4 linked regions of the Rattus norvegicus genome follow. The protein of the gene in region 2 interacts with the protein of the main gene of each other region in a pairwise test. Links are inferred from orthologs where the notes say so. Each region holds a gene or a part of one and is shown on either strand. Other genes may lie near its edges. The genes, in order: Epc1, Rint1, Ribc1 and Lmo2.

What was found.
Region 1: the proteins of Rint1 (region 2) and Epc1 interact in binary tests that used the Homo sapiens proteins (3 or more experiments, as listed by UniProt). The two-hybrid records come from large-scale screens. The link is inferred for Rattus norvegicus from reciprocal best matches to the Homo sapiens genes RINT1 and EPC1.
Region 3: the proteins of Rint1 (region 2) and Ribc1 interact in binary tests that used the Homo sapiens proteins (3 or more experiments, as listed by UniProt). The two-hybrid records come from large-scale screens. The link is inferred for Rattus norvegicus from reciprocal best matches to the Homo sapiens genes RINT1 and RIBC1.
Region 4: the proteins of Rint1 (region 2) and Lmo2 interact in binary tests that used the Homo sapiens proteins (3 or more experiments, as listed by UniProt). The two-hybrid records come from large-scale screens. The link is inferred for Rattus norvegicus from reciprocal best matches to the Homo sapiens genes RINT1 and LMO2.

Annotation. Positions count from the first base shown.
Region 1 is NC_086035.1:59,209,488-59,213,052, reverse strand, and holds part of Epc1 (enhancer of polycomb homolog 1), read left to right. Parts: intron 1-188; coding exon 189-362; intron 363-442; coding exon 443-532; intron 533-608; coding exon 609-757; intron 758-1,590; coding exon 1,591-1,943; intron 1,944-3,565. UniProt on the Homo sapiens protein: Component of the NuA4 histone acetyltransferase (HAT) complex, a multiprotein complex involved in transcriptional activation of select genes principally by acetylation of nucleosomal histones H4 and H2A.
Region 2 is NC_086022.1:12,227,606-12,231,170, forward strand, and holds part of Rint1 (RAD50-interacting protein 1), read right to left. Parts: coding exon 3,526-3,565; intron 583-3,525; coding exon 472-582; intron 386-471; coding exon 160-385; intron 1-159. UniProt on the Homo sapiens protein: Involved in regulation of membrane traffic between the Golgi and the endoplasmic reticulum (ER); the function is proposed to depend on its association in the NRZ complex which is believed to play a role in SNARE assembly at the ER.
Region 3 is NC_086039.1:24,572,419-24,575,983, forward strand, and holds part of Ribc1 (RIB43A-like with coiled-coils protein 1), read right to left. Parts: coding exon 3,481-3,565; intron 1,783-3,480; coding exon 1,701-1,782; intron 1,511-1,700; coding exon 1,169-1,510; intron 61-1,168; coding exon 1-60.
Region 4 is NC_086021.1:110,820,284-110,824,281, forward strand, and holds the start of Lmo2 (rhombotin-2), read left to right. Parts: upstream 1-1,169; 5' UTR 1,170-1,390; coding exon 1,391-1,397; intron 1,398-1,524; coding exon 1,525-1,744; intron 1,745-3,998. UniProt on the Homo sapiens protein: Acts with TAL1/SCL to regulate red blood cell development. Also acts with LDB1 to maintain erythroid precursors in an immature state.

The sequences.
Region 1 (3,565 bases), on a different chromosome or scaffold from region 2:
CAAATGTAGATTATTAGGGGAAACTGAGACTGACCCTCTGAGGGTAGGGGGGCCACCAGAGGGTTGCCTGAGCCTCTTTTAATAGTTCAAGCACTTGGCTCCCCAAGTAATAATTAACTCAAGCTGTTAAGAGGTTGCAGTTGTGGGGTGTGCTTTCGCTGTGTGACCGACTCGTGTCTGTGTTGCAGCAAGATAAGGCTGATCTTATTCGGCCGAAGCGCAAATATGAAAAGAAGCCCAAAGTCTTACCGTCGTCTGCTGCCGCACCCCAGCAGCCAAGTCCTGCTGCACTGCCAGGCTTCAGTGCTAAAGACTTAAACCAGTACGACTTCCCCAGCTCAGATGAAGAGCCTCTGTCACAGGTAAACAGAAGACCAGCTCTCTGCACACAGAAGAGGAACATAGAACCCGCATGTTTGACCTCTCGTTGCTTTATTTCAAGGTTTTGTCTGGCTCTTCAGAAGCTGAGGAAGAGAATGACCCTGATGGCCCTTTCGCTTTCCGTAGGAAAGCAGGCTGTCAGTACTATGCTGTAAGTGTCAGACTTTCTGTAAACAACAAACAGCAGACAGACTGACAAAATACAATAATTTGGATTTTTTTTTTAGCCTCATTTAGACCAAACTGGCAACTGGCCCTGGACTAGCCCTAAAGATGGAGGCCTGGGGGATGTGCGATATAGATATTGCTTAACTACTCTCACCGTACCCCAGAGGTGTCTTGGATTTGCACGAAGACGGGTCGGGCGCGGTGGAAGGTAACGCGCTTCTGCTTTCCTTGCACCAGCATGCTTTTTAGACATTGGAGTCAGAGTTTAAACTGAGGCCCTTCTTGTGAACAGAGTCTAGAAGCTCCAGCTTGCTATGCTTAGCAGAGCTGTCTACATGTTCCCTTTGCACTCCCAACGTCCTCACACACTACACTGCGTAGTCCCTACAGGCCCGTGTGGGTTCTTATCTCCCCAAGCTTCTTAGCACCTGAGTTATCACAGAGTAGAATCCCAAGAAAGGACAAGTATACTTGTGTGTACACACTCAGGATTGGTTCAGGAGACTACAACCAAAGTCGCTGAGTTCTGGGGAAAACCTTACGTTAACTACTGCAGTGACCACTTAACTTTGCTGCTCATGGCCTCAGTTTGTCAGGATGTGGTTCTGGGGTCTGAAATAGAATATTTCATACATGGAGTGGAGGAGAGAAGGAACTGCAAAGCACAGAAAAGTTTTGGTTGAAAGACAATTTGAAAAAAAGAACTTTGTCCAACATTGAGCTTTGAGGCTAAAAGAACCAGAGCCAACAAGATGACTCAGTGGGAAGAAGCGGTTGCCACCAAGGTGACAGCCTGAGTTCTGTCCCCAGGACTCACCTGGTGGAAGGAGAAAAGCAACTCTTGGGAATTGTCCTGTGGCTGCTGCGTGCACGCCGTGCTCTGCTCCGTGTGCTGTGCGCATACAGTGTGAGAGTCAAACGCTGCAGTGATGAACTTGCTCACTTTAAATGTCCAGTGTACTGTTGCTCAGCTTGGGGGAAAGCGTTCGGGAGAGAAAGGAAAGTCTGTGATGTAATCTCTGGTGTCTGCTCCTTGTGCAGGGTCTTGCTGGACAGAGCGCATTCAGACTATGACAGTATGTTTCACCACCTGGATCTGGACATGCTTTCCTCACCACAACCTTCTCCAGTCAATCAGTTTGCCAATACCTCAGAAACCAATACCTCGGACAGACCTTCCTCTAAAGACCTCAGTCAGATACTAGTCGATATCAAATCATGTAGATGGCGGCACTTTAGGCCCCGGACACCATCCCTTCCTGACAGTGACAGTGGTGAGCTCTCCAGTAGAAAGTTACACAGAAGTATAAGTCGAGCAGGACCAGCGCAGCCTGGGGCCCACACGTGCAGCGCCTCCACACAGAGCAGAAGTAGCAGTGGCTCGACACACTGTGGTATGTCCTTTTGTGGTACCCATTGCTATAAGGGTGGGGTCTCCCATCTTGTTGAGGATGTGGTATATTATTCCCGTAGTGAGGTCCTCACGTACTTCTTTGAGTTCTGCTCAGTAGTGCTGTTGCTGTGTGGGTTTGTGTGTACGTGCATCTTTCCTTAACCACAGCCAAAGAGAGGTGGTATGTTTGTCACTATATATTTAATGTTTAACTTGTTATCTTGAGGTAGCCCATGAACCACAAGATTCATTAATTTTCAAGTAATAAAATAAAAGGGACCCCAAGTTGTTATTGGTATGTACTTGAACATCATCTACTGTGATCTGTTTAAATTTAGAGGCCACTAGTCAGTAGTTAGACATAAACTTACATTGGCAGTCGTTCAGAATAAATACCAGAGAAGCTGACTTCTAATAGTTTGTAGATATTTTAAAGATAATCCCTACTTTGTTGTATAGTGTGAATAAAACACTGGGAACAATGCAATGTCCCGTGACTTTCTTTTTTAGAACACTTAGGTAGTCCACATTATCTGAGTTGTATAAATTATAAAAGCTCACTGTCAACATGGCTCAGCCTCACAGCCTGTGCTCAGTCCCCAGACCCACACAGTAGAAGGGAAGGATCCCACTCCTTCAGTCTGTTTCTGGCCTCAGTGCGTGTGCTGTGGCCTGTGTGCATGTACACAGTCAATACATACAATAAGTGAAGAGATATTTTTGAGATTTTTTTGTTGGTGGTAGTTGTTTTGGTGATTATTCTGAAACAGGGTTTCACTGTAGTTCTGGCTGTCCTGGCCACTTTGTAGGCCAGGCTGGCCTTGTACTCGTGGAGATCTGCCTGCTCGACCTCCCGAGTGCAGAGACTAAAGACATACATGTACCACCATGTCTGGCTTATGCTTGAAATGTTTTTAAATCATTTCATTAAAGTTCTTTTAGGATGATTTTAATACAGATTAAGAAGAGGATTGTTTCCCTAATTACCTTAAGTTACAATTAAAGTGTTTTCTACACATAAGAATTTGCTGACATCTTCAGAGGAAATGCTCCATAAACTAATTTACTTGTTAGTTACAAATAAAAGTAGTTCTGTGATCTGACCAAACTTGACAATCAGTTGTCAAAAAAATCTGTAGTTTCTGGGACTTTAGTGATTGTAATTCCACTAGTTTTACTAACCGTTTTTCTGTCCTGCAAGCCAGGCTGACAAGCTGGCTGATTGGAGCCTTAGTTAGCTATGCACGGGTGTGGGGAATTCAAAAGTGGAGACTCCTAATCGGTTCCCCCCAAATATTTTTGGAGATATATGAGGGTTTTTTTGAGATTTTTATGGAGAAAGTAGCCATGTTCTATCAACCACATCCTGTCACTCCTAAAGTGGAACACTATAGACCAGGACAGACCTCCAGATTTCATTTCAGTTTACGTAACATGGTGTGCTGGCGTGACTTACAGAGGCATGTCGGTGCCAGTTGCAAACTTTGCTGTTTTGTTTCTCCAACATCATTAAAAGGTAGACATTAGCAAAAGTTAGCTGAAAAAAGCCTTTCATAATTATGTAACTTTTCTTCTTAATCATTTTTTTTGACAATCAGACCTTTTTAAATGCTGTCTTTATTT
Region 2 (3,565 bases):
GCAGTGGTGGGACACACCCTTGATCCTAGCATTTGAGAGGCAAAGGCAGGTGGATCTCAATGAGTCTGAGGCCAACTTGGGCCAAAACAGAAAGCAAGCAAGCAAACAACAAAACAAACCAAAAGCCTCAAGTCAGCTCAACGGTCACTGAGTGCTTACACTTTCTCTCCACAGTCAGCCATCTCTGGAAACAGGTTTCCTCCGACAGAATGTGCATGCAGCTGGCAAATGTGCTAGGATAGCCATGGACACTGTGCAGCTCCCTTTCAAACAACAGCACCTCGTCTACCAGATGACAGAAGAGACTATCGTCATAGAGCAGGCAAGGGATATCAGACGCCAGCTTCTCAAGGATGAGCATCACGAGGCCGCGAGAAAACTCAAGCTGAAAGAGAGGCAAGGAGGCATGAGGGAGGGACTGTGCCCAGGGGGCCTCCAGGAAGCCGGAGTGCACGGGGCTCAGCCTCTTACCCTTGCGTTCACTGCAGAACCCACTTTATCCAGTATTGGCTGGATCTTCTCATCCAGAAAGTGAGAATGGCTTCCAATCCACAGAAGTACCTGAGCGAAGTACCATTCAGGCTAAGAGGAAGGGAAAATGGGGTTAGTTCTGCATTCACTCTACGATGACGGGAAAGTCTAATTAAATGCACACAGTTATGGACAGACATAAAAATTAACTGAAAACTCCTATATGTAAGAAAGCAATTCTTACCCTGCACTTCAAACTCACAAAAGACTTCATAATCAAATGTTTCCCAGTATACTTCCACAACAAATGCTAATAATGTGGCCTAACTCAGTAAACTCGTAATTTAAAATGCCACATTGGGGTTAGGTGTGGTTTTGAAGTATAACGTTTGCCTGGCTATAAAAAGCCTTGTTTGAATCCCAGCATCACAGAAAAGAGGAAGAGAAGGCTTAAGAACAATACTGAGGAAAAGTCCCTCACACACGCAAGAAGGAGCATCTGGGGGGCTGGGGATTTAGCTCAGTGGTAGAGGCTTGCCTAGGAAGTGAAAGGCCCTGGGTTCGGTCCCCAGCTCCGAAAAAAAGAGCCAAAAAAAAAAAAAAAGAGGAGCATCTGCCCAGCACACGCCCTCATCCCAGAGCAAGATAAAACAAGCCACACCAGCAGGATGGCCCCGGGGTAAAGGCGCCTGCCAGCAAACCTGCCAACCTGAGCTTGATCCCTGGAACCAACGTGGGGGAGGGAGAGCGCTAACTCCCACAGATGTTGCTCTGACCTACACACAAACTTTGTAAAGCCCTCTAAGCCTAGCGTGATGAGGTATTACTAACAACTGATATTTCTGAAATAGCATTCCAAAAAGAAGGTTCTGAGATAGATCTCACGTAGCCCAAGCTAGCCTCAAAAATCTCTATGTTACTGAGGGTGACGGGCTTCAGGTCTTGTCACCTCTACTTTCCCAGTGCCAGGATTTCACACATGACATCAATATGCGCATCACACGTGACGTATGTGGTACTGGGGACCAACATGGGGCTTCACGTGAGCGGGACAAACGCTCTGTTGAGACTGACCTGCTTCCCCAAACACTTTTTTTTTCTTTTCTTTTTTTGTTTGGAGCTGAGGACTGAACCCAGGGCCTTGTGCTTGCTAGGCAAGTGCTCTACACTGAGCTAAATCCCCAACTCCTCCCCACCCCCAACTACTTTTTAAACAAGACTTTCTGCTGCTTCCTCTTTCCAAAAGGTAAAGTAAGGAAAAGAGTCTAGTGGCCTAATTACTAATACATCTACGCTGTAAACTGGGTGTGATGTACAAAGGAAACAGGCAGAGCATTTCAAAGTATTACACTTTTCTCTGTGCATATATGCATGCTAGAATGGATGTGTCTGGGTGGGTGGACAAGTGTCACTGTGGCAATCAGATGACACCTTTGGGAGTTACTTTTCTCTTGTGACCACATGGGTCCTAGGGATCACACTCAAACTTGGAGGTGGTTTCCCCCACTGGGCCATGTCACTCACTCACCCCACATAAAGATTTTACTTTGTCTTTAGAGAGGATTCTGCACACATATAAGTTTTTCTAGACAACAACTTAAAACTCAGTGAACATGAACAGATGAACCGATGAGCTCCAGGTTCAGTAGAGACTTTGTCTCAAAATAAGGGAGAGAGTGACTGAAAAGGGTATCTGGCATTGACCTCTGGGTACACACACACATACACACGTGCATACACACGCACACCAGACACACCACACATACCACACACACACAAACACACCACACTTACATATACACACATAACACACACATATACATACACACCACACACATACAACACACACATATATACACACACATATACACACATACCACATACAACACACATACACAAACACATACCACACACACATATACACACAACACATACACACATACATACCATACACACCACACACACCACACACACAAAACACACACAACATATACACACACATTCACAACACACACAACACACACACATATACAGACACACATACCACACACATGTGCATGTGTGTTTCCTGTTTTTTATAGCTAGGGCTCTAACTAAGGGATAGAGCACTTGCCTTGAACAGGCAAGCCCTGGCTTCAGTCCCTAGCACTGACTGGCAAATCCCCAAGTGTTTTCAGTTGGGGATAAACAAGGGTGGCAGCATCTAATCCCAAGGACTGTCTCAGTGACAGTATACTAAATTCATTAGGATCACTCTTTCAAAATGAGCCAATCCAATCCAGAATTTTCTTACATTTTCTAAATGTTTAGTTTATGCTCTGTCTCATTGACTACTGAGGACTAAATGACTGTGCAGTCCCAACAACAGTCTAAACAAAACAGAAGACCCACTGCCACTAAGTTCACTCATATGACCTGAAAAATATCTGCTGTGGTCTTGCTCTTAATTCAGAACACTTGGTGAGCCCAGCTCCATACACTGCCTCGGCTGCAGCAACCATCAAGAACAAAGTGCTCTCTCAGATCAAGTGTTGGTAACGACTTCCTTTAACTGACTTATTCCGTCACTCCTTGCCATGGTATATGTCCTCCGTAGCTGAGTCACCATGGCACCTGTGCTCTCTCCTGTGGAACTCACTTCTTTCTTTCTGTTTATCTATGTGCAGGAGCGGTCTGTGCAGTGAGGTCCAGGTGGCTGTAAAGCCTGCACACACGAACACAACGTGATGACGTCCCAAAGACGGCACAGATACTGGCAACCTGTCAACCTGAGCCCCAGTCACGCCTACAGAGTGCAGCGAGGAGGCAGGAACCGACAGAGAAGGGAAAACAGAAACGTGAAGACAGACAGGCCTTGAGGCTAATCATGTAAAAGTCCACAGGCAACACTCACTACTAATGAACACTCAGGGTAGGATGGACACTGTGGGACCCCAGCCCTTGGGAGGCAGATGCAGAGGGAGCGGAGTCTGACTCAGCCGGGGCTCTCCTCAGACCCTGTCTCACAAACATAACCACGGAGGAGAGAGTGAAGCACACTCTGGCCAAGCACACCTTGCTGATGACGTTGGTCTGCCGGCTGCCTCTGAAGTGG
Region 3 (3,565 bases), on a different chromosome or scaffold from region 2:
GCCTAGCCAGTTCAGCAGCCCGAGTGTCCGCGGCTAGACGCAGTTGGTCACTGAGCAAAGCTACAGAGAAATGCAGGCAGGGCACTGTACTTGCCTATTCTAGTCTGCATCCGTATATTGATTATTTTTTCAGCATACTCTGTGTGTTTATATTTGCATGTCAAAGCTGCAGTGATAAGGAAGGAGCTACTCTTTGGGGTCAGGGTGGGCAAAGCATAGCAACTTGGATGACAACTAAGCTCTGTCACCTTTCAGTGGTGTGGCCTTAAATAATGTCATTTCACTAAGTCTCAGTCTTAAGGTTATTTGTTGAGTTCTAAGGATACCACACAATTAGATCGTGTCTCAGAGAACTCCCTGCCTAGTCCAGGGTGCTGTATGCCTGTAATTCCAGCTCTTGGAACACAGAGGCAGGAAGATCAGAACTTCAAGGTTATCCTTAGTTACATAGCAAGTTCAAAGTCCTAATACCTCCCACTTTAAAAAACAAACAAACTTCCCTCTCTGGTAGGAGAGACAGATCCAATAGATAATCAAACTATGACCTGGGAAGGCCAATGATAAAGATGTAGAGAAGCATATTAAAATGGCATGCCAGTCATGGCCACAGCATAAGCAAAGCTATTAAATTGTTCCCCCTTCAAGCCACACACTGGATTCTTTGTTCTTAGGCCGGGTGAGACACTGGAAGGTGAAATGAGTAGAAAGACATGGCCCTTGCCCTGGAAAGGTTTTCTCCTAGTGTAAAAGAGAGATGTGGCCAGACTGTATCATAATAATAGTTGCTTTTCTATGTGATGTATATTATAATCCCTATTTTAAAGATGAAGAAACTGAGCTATCAAGGTGGCAAGTGCCTGAAACCCCAGTATTTGAGAGGCTGAGGAAGGGGGATTGCTGAGTTCCAGCCCAGACTAGGTGAAATATAAATAGCAAGCCCCTGTCTCATGAAATGAGGAGAGGAAAACAATTCTAGAGAAGGAACATTCACTTGCCTGAAGCAGGAAGTAAGTAGAACTGTAAAATGCTTCCCTCAGAGACGTGCCAAGAAAGAAGTCAGGGAAGTTAGGGCATGCACAGACTAACCTTTCTGCCCCAGCTCTCTGGGTAAAGTTCCTCCTCACAGTGTTCTACCCAAACAGGATGAGCTCTCTGCTGTGCTACTTACCTGCTCGTGCTTCCTCTTCTCTGGCTGCCTGTTGCTCCTGCAGCTGTTTCTCCAGGTTGTATCTCAACTGTTCCTGCTGCATTCTCAGGTGTGAGGCCCTCTCCAGGTCCTCTCCAAGGAAGTACTGCATGCTTGCTGGGCCAAAGTATGCCTCGTTCTCATAATAAGGGACCTGAAACTCCTGGACATGGTCTGGATCCCAGAAGTCGAATTCGTGTCCATTCTTGAATTGCTGCCTTTGCTCCCGAAAATCCTGCACTCTCTTGGACAGCCGACATGCTCGTTCTGCCTCTTCTTTCTCTAGCATCTGTGCTACCAGATCATAGTGTGCATGCTTGGCACCTGAGAGCGATTGAAAGAGACATGAAGGTGCCAGAACAGAGCCCAGTCAACCTCTGTTCCCAAGCCCCTTCCCAAGGTCATTTGCTTTGTTTTATCATCCCTCAGAGCCTCAGGCTCTATTCTGAGGCAGAATCTCCCAACTTCAAGCCACTCTTTCTGGTTTATACCTTTGTTTCACCCTAGTATTTACCATAAGCCATATCTTTGCTTCGCTCTATTGCCTCCCGAAACTTTCGTTCCTCCACCTGGTAGTTGAGGGCTTCCACATCCACCTGCATCTCAAAGAAAGGAGCTAAGTTAGAGGAGGATCTTCGAACGTACATTGAATGCCCTACAGGATGCTGTTTGGGAATTACCCTCTTCAGAGTCACCCTGTAACTCTTCAGGACATAGTAAATAAAGTTCTAAGCCCTGAATGAAGCCTGTAAACACCTCTGTGGTCTAGCTGCTGCTTCTCTGCCTTTATCGCTTTGTTCTCCTCTCACAGTAGTGTAAGGAACTGTACTTCTAGTTCTCTGCACATCCTAAGCTGTTTCAAACCCACAGCCTTTGCTCCAACTGTTTCTCCCCTTTGGAACAGTCTTTCTTCTTTACTACACTTCAGTTTACCCTCCAAGACTTGCTCAGGAAGATTCTACCCTCATAATCTAGGACCCACTAGCCATGTTGTATTGACATTAGCCTTTCTAGTATCTCCTCCACTAGGCCGTAAGCTGTTCTGTGAGGAGAAGCTGGCCTTAGCTATCATTGTATTCCCCACTGTCCAACGTAGTGTTTGGTCCAGGGTAGGTCCCAAGGAAATTCTTACAACCAGAATCTCAGTCAGACTACTCAAACTTCAGTTTGCTCATGGTCAGGTAATACGCTCTGACTTTTTTCAAAGTTGATAGCTCAATGCTTCATTTGGCCTCATTTTACAGAGGAGGACAAGATAGGTTATGTACCATAAGCCATCCATATATAATAGCAGACCTGGCTTTGAACACAAGTATGGTGTCCTTCCTAGATCCTTTCTTTACCTTCCCACTCAGCAACTGTTTATTTGTTTCTTAGCTATCAGTATTTTCCTTTTCATTATAATTCACTGAAAATGTTTCAAAATAGTATGGAAGGGCAGATAGTTTGTGAAGAATAAACATCCTTTCAGTCCCTATCCATCAGCTTGGTTCAAAGCTGTGAAGGTTACTATTGACAACATGGTCTGGTGAATTGGTTCCATAGGTAAAGTTCAGGCCTGACAATTAAGTTTGGTACCAAAAAGCCACATGGTGGAAGGAAGTCATATATGCATTCATTGTGGTCCCACATGCCCCTCCTAAATAAATAAAAAGCTACATAAAATACTGTCAGCTTGACAGCATCCAGAATCATTTAGGAGAGAAACCTCTGGACATGTCTTTTTAAGTAGGAAAACCTAACTGAGGGCAGTACCATACCAGGACTAGTCCTGGACTGAATAAAAAGAAGAAAGAGAGCTCAACTCTGCTTGCTAACTGTGGGTGCACATTGACCAGCCACCTCCTCTTCTTTTCCTCCAATAATAGACTGTATGCTCATACTGAGCCAAAATAAACCCCCCTTTCTTCTGTTTGTCAGGTATTTTACCACAGTAATAAAGAAAAGCAACAAATATAACAATGTCACATTTAGCCTTCCAGAAATACCCTAGGTTTATGTAGTATCGAATTTTCTTTACACCCTCTTATGGCTCCACATTGTTTCTCAAGAACCAGCTATAGTCCAAGAACTGACCAGAGGAGAGCCAGCTGTCACCCCATCATCTGTCTCTTCACAATTCTGCCTCTCTTCTTAAGCCCTGCCCAGGCATATGAGGTTGGTTCTCTAGCTCCTGCCTTTCCAGTCCTAGGGCATGCTTGAGTCCCGAAAAGTTAAAATGTACTGCTACATTCCATTCTAGGAACAGGGAGCAAATAATCCCAGTCTTGTAAAGTTACCCATTACCCACTCACCCCCATGACTCGGTTCCGCACATTGAAGAATCGGCATTGTCGTTCCTTTTCACGATTTCTTCTAGCCTCAATGGCTGCTAGCTCC
Region 4 (3,998 bases), on a different chromosome or scaffold from region 2:
GTGAGGATTTTGCTCTGTACCAGGAACCCAGGATTTCTGTTCTGACTTCAACAATCATCTTCAGGCTATTAAAGCCGTCTTTAAAATGGGACTGAAATGCCTACGTCCTTGATCCAGGCTGTTCTTACTAACGATGGATTCTGAAGGCACTCGGAATTTTCCTCTTCACAAACCTGAAGACTGTCCTCATCATAAGCTAACGGGACTTGAACGATCATTTCTGAACTCAGTTTCAAGGAACTCGAGGCCCGGGAGAACCTAGGTTTTTCTCCCTGCAAAACTAGCTAGCTAGAGTCCTCTTCTTTCCCTTCTGCATTTCTTTGTCCTTCTAGAACTTGCCTTCAAGCCTGAAGGAGAAACCTGTCCTTTTCTTTGCTTTATATAGGGCAAAATAATAGTAAGTAACAACTGTAAGGTTCTTGATTATTGGCAAGGAACTTCCTCCGGTCCAAGTATTGCTGATACTTTGCAGAGAGGGCCAGCCTAACCGCTGGAGTTCGCTCTTTGAAAGATGCTGAGGGAGGGAATTCTGCCGCCAGCAGATGGAGAGGAGACCCGGACAACGTGGTCCCTCCCAGCCACCCTCCCTGCGGGATTAGCTGCCCCCAGCTCTGCTCAGGCGCACCTAGCGCGTGAGGTCCCTGGTCATACAGCTTGCGTCCCCTCTCTGGAGCGCAGTCGCAGCTACGAGCTTGCTGCCAGCAGAGCCGCACTGTCTCAGGCTTCGTAGAGCACCACGACCGTGGTCTTGGGACCTCGAACCCGAGACGAGCGCTCGCTAGCCAGCCACTAGCAACGCTTGCATTTCTTTCCTGCTGGAACCGCCAGGTGGTTACTTTCAGCCTGAAACCAAAGGGAAAGGGCAGAAGGGGAACTCTGAAAAGGACGGTTTAGTGGCAGCGGGCTTCTTGCCCCAGGAGTGGTGCTCAGGGAAGACTCTCGGTCTCTGCCACGGGTCCCTTTAAGAAGCCAAGTCGGGGCTGCCGCCGTCGCCGCTGCTGCTGCTGCCGCCGCTGCTGTTTGGATTCCTAATCCCCAGGAGCCCCGTTTTTTTTTTTTTAAAGGAAGAAAAAAAGGGGGAGGGGGCGGGCAGCTGTCTCTTTAAATGTGATTTCCTTCTATTGTATTTGAATCGTGATCAGGAAAAAGGAAATGAAACCAGAGACAGAGGGAAGCTGAGCGAAAATAGACCTTCGCGAGAGAGGAGGGAGCCCCGGGAGAGCCGCGCGGTCCGCTCCCCGCCCCCAGGCCGCCGCCCCCTCTCTGCCCTCGGCGCCCCGACCCCAGCGAAGGTGCGAGGGGTTCGGGGCGGCCGGGCGGAGCCGGCGACTGCGCGCGATCGGGACCGGGCGGCGGCGGCGGCGGCTGTGGTGACGGCAGCGGGACCGGGATGGAAGGTTAAGTCTTGAGCAGCGGCAGCTGTCGCAGCCGCCGGAGGGAGGCCGGGCTGCTCCCCGGCCCCCTGCCTCGGCCGCCGCGCGCGGGGCAGCTGGGTGATTCGCTCTCTCTCTTTGGCGTTTGAAGGGAGCGCGGTGACTGTCCTTGAGCGTGGAGGGGCGAGCTCGCCGGCCGAGCGACCGAGCAAGAGGAGGCGCAGGAGCGGCGGCGCCCGAGCACCCGAGGGGGTCCGAGTCCAGGCAGCTAGCCAGCCACGCGCCACAAAGGGAGCGCCCCCGCCGCCCGGCACGCCTCCCCCCTCCCCAATGTCCTCGGCCATCGAAAGGAAGAGCCTGGACCCGTCTGAGTAAGTGTGGCGCTTCTCTCCCCGCACCCCACACCGGGTCCCAGGCAAGGCGCGAGGGGCTGACTTCAGGTGCGCGCCCGCAGCATGCCCTTGGTCCCTCGGTGTCGCAGGGGTTCTCTTTCCTCGCGGGTGACTCTGGAGACACCGAGAGGGGCTGGGCGGAACTGGAGGAAGCTGTAAACTGGGATCAACCCCGCGGACCGCTCCGGGCTATCTAGAAAGCTCCCCAAACCTTCACAAGGGCCAGAAAGTTTGCCCAGGAGCAGGCACCCGGAGCTCCGAGGCACAGGTGCAGGGCAGGGAAAGTGGAGGACGAGATTCTGCCTTCTCCCCTTTCGTCCCACCCTCTCCAGATTCCCTTCCTTTTTGTCTATTTGGCTTTGGAAAGAGGGGCATCCCAACCAGAACGTCCCTGGTGTCTCTGACAGTCTACTGCCAGGCCCGGAGTAGAGCAGATAGTCGATGAGGTCCGCCTGTCCATCTGGGGACTGGTTCTGGCCTCCAGAGACTTCTAGAATTGCTAATCCGGAGTTCCTCCGGGTGCATGTTCACCCCTCCCATGAGTCTCCTATTGTGGGCATGTGAACCTCGAAAGTTGGTTCTTTTTTTTTTTTTTTTTTGTTCCAGTGTGTTTTCCTAGGGAACAGAATCTCATCAAACTTTCAGAAGGGCTTGGGGTCAGCGAACCAAGAGTTGTATGAGTATGTACTGTCTTATGCTCTGAGCTTTGCGCTGGTTTGCAAAGAACACCCCCATTCCACAGCCTGTACCCTAGCCCATTCTCTAGATTTAACAAGGGGAGCCAAGAATGAAGGTGTTGGGGGTTTTTTTTGTTTTGTTTTTTGTTGGGTTTTTTTTTTTCATGTCCACACAAATGCCCTTTTAAGAATCATTAGCTGTCTGGTTTTGAGTTTTTATTCCTTTGAAGTCCTCATCTAATCCTTTGAAGGGATTTGTTAACACAAGACCAAAGGAGCTGGTTAATGACTTGTCCATTTGGGCTTTTAAGACGCATTTGTTTTGGTGGGGTTTTTTCCTCCTTTTCTTTTCCTGCTTTAAAAGAATTGTGCTTTCCTGCTGAAGTTTTCCTACTCGCCTCCCCCCCTTCAATTTCAGTCTTGTGTGGTGTTTATTTACCTGGGCTTTACCCTCAGTCAGCAGCATAAAAACCCAGCGTGTTCTCATAAAATACAGGAAGTCCCACGATCCAACGAGAATATAAACATCACTCTTCAGTCTTGAAGGTTAAGACACACAGCTCAGAAAGGAGCTAGGTTTGTTGACATAAAGACCAGCTTCCTTAAAATCTCAGGAAAAACAACAACCCTTTAAAAAAAAGAGTCGGTGTCTGTAGCTTGTTCCCTTTTAAAAATACATTTAAAATTACATCTGAGCCCCGAGTTTTCAGAGATTGGACGAGACATAAGATTACACAGTAAGGGAGTGGGTCTGGCGAACTGGTGTTTACTGCTTTCCTATCAGCACAATTTCACTATGAATCCTATATTAGACATTGAGTCTACAGAGTTTGGTACCTTAAAAAAAAATACTAACTGCATGGATGTGTGTGTGCACCTGAGCGCAGGTGCTCTGGAGGCTAGAGGTGATGAGTCTCCTAGAACAGGAGTCACAGATACTAGCACTCACCTGTTTTGCTTGTGGAGACTCCTGGGTCCTTTGGGAGAACAGAAAACATCCTTAACTGCCAAGCCTTCTCTCCAGCCTGAGGATTGGGTTCTGTAAAGGAAGTTCACTCTGACTAAAGTTTGTGTCTTTTTTGCCCCAGACTAGAAACCTGAAAGGTATCTCACAGCTGTAATAGTGAGCACCCAGTTCATGAGGTCCTCTAGTAGTTCATCCGTCCTACAGAATGTGCCCAGAAAAGGAAGGCTGTAACTGAAGATGGGCAAGCCCTGTGGGAAATGTCTGTGGAACATTTCCCCTCTGTCTGGGAAATTTTTGAGAAATTTTACCAGAAATCAAAGCTAAAGGGACACTCAGGTGTCCTATTTAGGACAGGCTGGTAGAAGGATATCAAATATTAACTTAAGGTAAATCTCATTCAGTCTTTGGCTTGAATTGTTCACCAGAGAGAATGGCATGTCATTAATTATAGAAAGGTAAACTGAGTCAGAGTCTGGTCCTGTCCATATCTGTCCTCAGACCGGCATGTCTCGTTCTCCTGTATCTCACTCTCTTGCCAGCGGCCTCACCGAGTGCTTGCTCGAAGCCAGCTTGGATCTTCACCATCGCA